Sus scrofa: one gene and its partner. The protein of the gene in region 1 interacts with the protein of each later gene in a pairwise test. Links are inferred from orthologs where the notes say so. Each region holds a gene or a part of one and is shown on either strand. Other genes may lie near its edges.

Evidence for each region. The genes of interacting proteins can lie anywhere in the genome.
Region 2: the proteins of MYBPC3 (region 1) and MYH7 interact in a two-hybrid assay, tested with the Homo sapiens proteins (2 studies listed by IntAct). The link is inferred for Sus scrofa from reciprocal best matches to the Homo sapiens genes MYBPC3 and MYH7.

The regions. Positions count from the first base shown.
Region 1 is NC_010444.4:15,246,324-15,250,599, reverse strand, and holds the start of MYBPC3 (myosin-binding protein C, cardiac-type), read right to left. Parts: upstream 2,922-4,276; 5' UTR 2,840-2,921; coding exon 2,815-2,839; intron 973-2,814; coding exon 706-972; intron 121-705; coding exon 7-120; intron 1-6. UniProt on the Homo sapiens protein: Thick filament-associated protein located in the crossbridge region of vertebrate striated muscle a bands. In vitro it binds MHC, F-actin and native thin filaments, and modifies the activity of actin-activated myosin ATPase.
Region 2 is NC_010449.5:75,670,580-75,673,664, reverse strand, and holds the end of MYH7 (myosin-7), read right to left. Parts: intron 3,078-3,085; coding exon 2,802-3,077; intron 1,774-2,801; coding exon 1,678-1,773; intron 1,565-1,677; coding exon 1,430-1,564; intron 889-1,429; coding exon 871-888; 3' UTR 757-870; downstream 1-756. UniProt on the Homo sapiens protein: Myosins are actin-based motor molecules with ATPase activity essential for muscle contraction. Forms regular bipolar thick filaments that, together with actin thin filaments, constitute the fundamental contractile unit of skeletal and cardiac muscle.

The DNA of each region.
Region 1 (4,276 bases):
TCTTACCTTCGGGACTCGGAGAGCCTCCTTCTACCTCGGTGGCTGAGGCCAGGGCTTCTCCAGGGGCACCAGGAGCCTCGGTAGGGGCAGAAGCAGGTCCTGGCACAGGCTCTGCCTTCCCTGGAGGGGGTTGGGGAGGGGGATCATGGAGCAGCTTCTAAACAGAGACCTCTCCTCCTGTCCCTGGCCCTTCCCATCTGTGCAGTATGGGCAAAGTTTCATCCTGCCTGTGTCTCGCCCTCTCTTCATCCTCACTGGCCGCCAGTGCCCACATCCTGGTGGGTCAGCCTGAATATCCCTCCTGTCTTTCCCTAGACTCTGGTCTTGGTCCACCCCCCCCACCCCCGCACAGAGGCAGGGCGGGGGCTTCCTCCAAGCCCACAGGCTCGTGGGGCTTCCCTGCCAACACACAGCCCACCAAGTTCCCATCGGTGTGGGGGTGTCCAGTGGGAGGGCAGCATTATGTCATTCATCTCTGAATTTCCCCCACCTCCACAACGGCTGAGAAGGCCAGGGAGTCATGTGGGGACACTCGGAGAGGTCTTGCTACAGAAAACACAAAAAAGCCAATGCTGGCTGAGGGCACAGCCAAAGCAAAGGCAAGAAAGTGGGAAAACACCTCCTGCACCCTGGGCGATGGAGAGGTGGCGGGGTTGCCCCTGCCCCCAGAAGCTCAACTTCAGGGAAGGCTGCCCAGGGTCTTACCTGCTTCTAAGACCTTGAGGTCAAACTTGACCTTGGAGGAGCCGGCGATGACTGCGTAAGACCCCTGGTCGGCAGGGCCCACATCCCGCACAGTCAGTGTGTGCCGTGTGCCCTCGACTGCCAGGCCGTACTTGTCACTGGGGCTGATGTCACTGCCTGCCCGCTGCCAGCGAACCTTCACTCCTGCCCGTTCAGTCTCGGCCTCGAACACAGCAGGACTGCCAGCAGCCACCTCCACTGACCGTGGCTTCTTGCTGAAGGCAGAGACTGGGGGGCCAGCAGAGTCTGCAGGGGCCCCTGGCTTGCCTATGCACCCCACCCCTGAAGCCCCTCTTATTAAACATGGAGATAAGTGCTTTAATGATGAAATATGCTGAAAATCACATCACCCCATTTAATACTCCAGCGGCTATATGAAGTAGGAGCAGCTATCATGCCCATTTCTCAGATGAGGACTCCAAGGTTCAGAGAAGTTAAGTGACCTACCCAAGATCACACAGCCTATAGGCGGCACAGCCAAGCTTGTGGTCTAACCTCCACACACAAATTTTGCTGGGTATATCCCTGGATACATCACCCTCCCAGCCTGTGGAAGCCCAACCCCCCTTCCCCCACCAACAGGGGCCCTTGGCAAGGGACATGGCTAAATTTGGCCTCTAAGGGCCTCAGGCTGAGAATCAGCAACTGAGATAAAGCTGGCCTGGGAGGGGGCTGGGCTGGGGAGCTGACCCTGACCAGGACAACCTTGGTAAGAACTCTGGGCTGTGACTTTCTCTGCCCTTGGCTGGGGTTCAGGGGCTTCCTAACCATCCTCTCCCAGAGCAGAGGGGCTGCGTGGGGGGGCCATGTCTGGTGTGGGGGCCACAAGGGTGCAGGGTCAGAAAGCAAAGACTTTCAAAGCTGGAAGGAGGCAACCCAACCCCTTGTTGTATAGATAGGGAAACTGGGACCCAGAGGGGAGGGACTTGTCTAAGAGTGTTGAGTGAGACTGGCTCAAGTCTAATTTGAGACTTTCTTTTTCTTTTTGGGGCTGAACCTGTGGCATATGGAAGTTCCCGGGCTAGGGGTTGAGTTGTAGCTGCAGTTGCAGGCCTGCATCACAACCACAGCGGTGCCAGATCTGAGCCACATCCGTGACCTATACCACAGCTTTCGGCAATACTGGATCCTTAACCACTGAGCGAGGCCAGGCCTTGAACCTGCATCCTCGTGGATACTAGTTGGCTTCTTAACCTGCTGAGCCACAATGGGAATGCCTTTTTTTTTTTTTTGCTATTTCTTTGGGCCGCTCCCGCGGCATATGGAGGTTCCCAGGCTAGGGGTCGAATCGGAGCTGTAGCCACCAGCCTACGCCAGAGCCACAGCAACACGGGATCCGAGCCGCGTCTGCAACCTACACCACAGCTCACGGCAACGCCGGATCGTTAACCCACTGAGCAAGGGCAGGGACCGAACCCTCAACCTCATGGTTCCTAGTCGGATTTGTTAACCACTGCGCCATGACGGGAACTCTGGCTCAAGTCTAGAGTCATCCTGGGGGCCCTCCTGCAGCAACTTTTTCCCAAACGGCAAGTCCAGGCCTAATTTTGCTGCAGGGATGGGATGGAGGCAGAGAAGGGGTCTCCCTGCGTCCTGAGAGTAGAGCAACTGCCCTTGGGGCTTTCTGCCCTGACTCTCTTCCCCTCTGTACTCCTGACTCTGGTTTACTTTCATCAGAAGGATGGAAAGGAGAAACTAAGAATCGCAAAAGGCCCAGGATGGAGTTCCCGTTGTGGCTCAGCTGGTTACGAACCTGACAAATATCCATAAGGATGTGAGTTCGATCCTTGGCCTCGCTCAGTGGGTTAAGGATCTGGCGTTGCCATGAGCTATGGTTTAGGCTGGCAGCTGCAGCTCCGATTTGACCCCTGGCCTGGGAACCTCCATAATGCTGTGAATGCAGCCCTAAAAAAAGAAAAAAAAAAAAAAAGGCCCAGGAGGACAGTTCCCCCTGTCCTGGGGCTCAGAGGCCTCATCCCCCTCAGGAACTTGCTCCTAGGCCCCCCCCAATTGCAGATGCCCCCAGCCCTCCCTGCCCCACACTCAGCCCCAACCCAGGCCTGGGGCTACCTGGTTTCTTCCCTGGCTCAGGCATCTCGGAGAGGTCACCAGGAACCGAGCAGGCACAGGCTCCCCAAAGAGAATCTGAGCAGGCACCCGTCCCCCTACTATATAAGGGGCTGCCCCCTCCCCAGGCCCTCCTTATCTGCACCCTGCCCAGCCACCTGCTAAATATAGACAAATTCCAGAGATCAAGGGCTCTCCAGGAGAATGTGGGGCCCCATTGTGCCTGGCTGGCCCCTGGCCCCTCCCCCATCAGCCCACTATCACAGCTTCTGTCCCCCAATCCTCCCTGAACTTCAGGGGTACTCCATGCCCTGTCTGTACGTCTTCTGACAGGTAAATCATGTGGTGGGAGTGTGCAGGGCCCTTAAGTCTGAGGCTGATGGGTCAAACGCATCCTTGCCAGGTAGCGGTTATGTGCACAAACCCTGGGCTGGGCTGCCCTGCATCCTGGCTGCCCTGAATCACTATTTCTCTGTGACCTTCTGCCCCGTGACTGCCCCTACACCCACCTCCAGGTCACATCACGAATGTCAGTTGCTACCCAGAAAGAAGGAAATTACGTGTGACCCACTGCAAGCAAGACCCAATACCGGGGAAGTTCATTTGTCCCCCGTCATCAGGGGGAAGGAATTCTATACACAAGCGTTGTCCATGTGGTCAAAACCTACTCGCCTTTTCAACACTGAAATCATTCTTTTCTGCCATTTTAACCACATTTAAAAGGCATCTCATGGAGTTCCCATGTGGCTCACCTAGTTAAGGATCCAACGTTGTCACTGCTTTTGCTCGGGTTCAATCCCTGGCACGGGAACTTCATGCCAGGGGTGCAGCCAAAAACAAACAAACAAAAACACAAACAAAACCAGAAAATGCATCTCATGCTCCTGGGCCTTCTTTAAAAGGGAACTGAGCCCATTTCCCTCGCTCGGGGCTAGGAGCCCTGCATAGGGGGTGTTGCGGATGGGCTTCCCCAGCCCAAGCCCTTGGGGCGAGGAGGTAGAGTGTGTGTTGGGGGGGGTAATCTGTCCCAACAGGAATGGCCCCAGAATCTGGGTTCTCTGAGGTCTGCAGGCTGCTGAGCAAAGTTCCTCAGTCCCACACTGTTGGCTGCCTCTTCTTGCTACTGTTGGAAGCAAGAGCTTACAGGTTTCCCTGATCATCTTTTTCTGTCTCTCCCCTGCCATAGGCTCTAAGCCAGAGGGACCAGACACAAGGGTACACTCGAGAGGTTCGCTTGTACCAGGGTCCTGCTGGCAAGGATCCCATGAGGACACTGCAGCTGACAAGAGCTCTGGGGCTTAATTCCTGCTCCTGACCGAGCTACGAGCTACGGGTTACCCTCTCGCAGACACGTGAAGCTTCTCACATTACAATGACGTAGCAGCCCACGTGGGATGGGATCCAGCCCACCCCTTACTCGTGGTGTGAACTAGGACAAACTATTTGACCTCTAAGAGCCTCAGTT
Region 2 (3,085 bases), on another chromosome or scaffold:
GTCCTCTCCCCAGGGTCCTGCTCACATGTGGCTCTTCTCAGTCCCTCATCTGTCTGCCTTCCCTCCAGATGGCCTGCTCTAAAGGAGCCAGTGAACCTCCATCTTCCAGCAGGTCCAGAAGAGGAGGGTCTTGGGAATAGAAGCTACCATGGGAAGAAAGGAGAAGAGTGTAGTGCTAGAGAAGCTGGAATGAAGAGGAGAGGAGGGTGGGCTAGGGTACAGTTCTCCCGGTGGTGCTGGGGGAGGAGGCGCTGGCCTCTGGGGTGGTTGGAGACCATGGAGGCCATGTCTGCAGGGATGGGCTATAGCTGCAAGACCTCGTGCCCTTTCAGACCCTTGCCTTGGACCAGGGCTGGGAGCCATTATCCCCTGTCCAAGTTGGTCATGCCTCAGAGGGCACCCCTACATGCCCAGCCTCCTCCTCACAGCCCTGGTGTTATCAGCTGTGGGGGTAGTGTTGATCAGATCTGAGGTTTAGGTTCACAGCAGGTGGGCTTACATTTTCTAGGAGAGCCTTAAGGGTTTCCCCAAATCTCCTTTAATCCCCAGTGTCTCTGGGCCAGGGAGAGGGCTGGGAGGAGAGCTTTCACCTGCTGAGGAGGTGCAAGGAGCATGTAGCATTGTTGCAGTAGGATGTTCCGAGCCTCATGGGCTCACCAGGGAAGCCTCCTGGAGTCACCCCCCCCCCATCCCCATGTCTGTGTCCCTGTGTTCCTGTGGCTGGCAGGCCGTGAAGAAGAGTCTAGAGGCAGCATCTCACTTCAAAGAAAAGTGCTTTATTCTGCTTCCTCCAAAGGGGCTGCTCTCCAGGCTCCAGGACTGGGAGCTTTGTTGCGCCCTCAGGATGGGGCAGATCAAGATGTGGCAAATCTACTCCTCGTTCAAGCCCTTTTAAAAGGAAACAAAGTCCAAATTAGCTCCCGAGAGGTGGGTACAGGGATGGACACATACAACAAAGGGGAGATGGGCACCCACAGAGGGGAGGACCACTGTGTGGCCTGAGGGAGGCCCTGTGGCAGTGGGAGGTGAGTCCTAGGGGTCAGTGTGGAAGGCAGTTCTGGAAGGTGGGCTCGGGTCAGCTGGAGGAATGCTGCTTGGGTGAGGACAAGGAAGTGCATGCATCTTAGGTTGGAGTTACAAGATTGTAGGCCTAGATGTAAACTAAATGGAAGAGAAGTAGAGATAGCAGATGGGGGACATTGGGACACACTGGGTGTATACAAAATGGGGTCTTCTAGGGTTGCTGACCACAAAATCATTGGAAGTTAGAGCTGGAAGAAGCTTAGAAATCACAGGAGACTGAGTTACCTTGCCTCTCGGGCCATGGGGTTTAGTCGTGGGGGATGAATGAAGGGGAGGAATCCTGGTGTGAGGGGCTCTGTCTGAGGGGCACTGATGTTGGCAGGGTGCTGCCATGGGGACAACCCACCTTGGTGCCGATGTCACGGCTCTTGGCCCGAAGCTTGTTGACCTGGGACTCAGCGATGTCCGCCCGCTCCTCCGCCTCATCCAGCTCGTGCTGCACCTTGCGGAACTTGGACAGGTTGGTGTTGGCCTGTTCCTCCTGTGGGGGTTCAGGGGTGGCAGGATGAGTGAGAGGGGCCAGGGGTTCTTAGCCTCCCATCCTGGAGACCAGCTACCTGCCTCTCCAGGCCCGGGCCCCACAGGGTCACTCACCGCCTCCTCGGCCTGGCGCTTGTAGGCCTTGACCTTCAGCTGTAGCTTGTCCACCAGGTCCTGTAGCCGCAGCAGGTTCTTCCTGTCCTCTTCCGTCTGGGGGTCGTGGAGGGGGTTGGCAGGAAGGAGTGAGTTTGGCACCATCATGGGAAGCAGTGTGGCCCCTCCCCCACTCATCTTAACATTAATGTAATATCCTGACCCAATTCAACTTTTGGATCCTCACCAAATAGTTGAATTCTTACAATTTCTTATATATATAAAAAAAGTATGTACCAAGAAAGAATCTAGGGAGCTGATGGGCCTCCTGAAATTACACACAAAACTGTGTGAGCACTGTTCCAGGGAGTAGGCACTGTTCCAGGGAGCAGGCCCTGGGGTATCCTGGGGCCCCATGGAGGATAAACCCTCTATTCCAAGAACCCAGCATGGCTGGCAGAAACTCTGGGACTGCACACCTGATGGGATTTCCTGGGATGCTGGGAAATGACATAGACTTGATCTAGGTTTAAGACGAGTATACACAGTGGGATGGCAATTTTTTGCAGATTGGAACAGAAACAAAATCTAATTGATAGTCTGATTCTAGGAAACATCATGAGAGCTAAAGCCTATACCTCCCTGAGTAGCAGAGAAGTTCTGAGACTCATTTTAATGGCTTGGGTGTATTTTGGTGATGATAACACCACGCTAAGGATTGGCTACCTATTTGCTTTCTGGTGATCATGCTGGGTGAGCTCTGCTGGAGCTCTGGGTATGTCTCCAGGGGACAGGCAGAGGGTGAATGGTGAGGTGGAGCTTGAAGGCCAGGAGGCTCAGAGATAGCTCTCTGAGCCAGGGGAGACTCAGGGTAGGACGGGGCCAGGAAGAGTAGGAACAGGGCAGCTAGGGGCTGTACTCTCACCCCTTGCCCTGGAAGATGCTAAGAAAAAATACTTAATCCCTCTGGGGTGGTTGTCACCCTGGCTTCAGGTCCTGATGCAGAGGGCCCGGCAGGAGGGCTGGGTGGCCTTCCTGGAAGGTGGCTGTGCATGGGGCCCTCAAGGGTCAGGAGGTGGACTGAGGGACACGCTTTCATATCCACTCCTGAGGGCCCGGTCCCAGCGTGGCCCCCGTGCCCGCACCTGGTAGGTGAGCTCCTTGATGCGACGCTCACTCTTCCTCATGCCCTTGACCGACTCCGCGTTGCGCTTCTGCTCGGCCTCCAGCTCATTCTCCAGCTCCCGCACCCGGGCCTCCAGCTTCTGCAGCTGCTTCTTGCCGCCCTTGAGGGCGATCTGCTCGGCCTCGTCCAGCCGGTGCTGCAGGTCCTTGATGGTCTGCTCCATGTTCTTCTTCATGCGCTCCAGGTGCGCGCTGGTGTCCTGCTCCTTCTTCAGCTCCTCCGCCATCATGGCGGCCTGTGCAC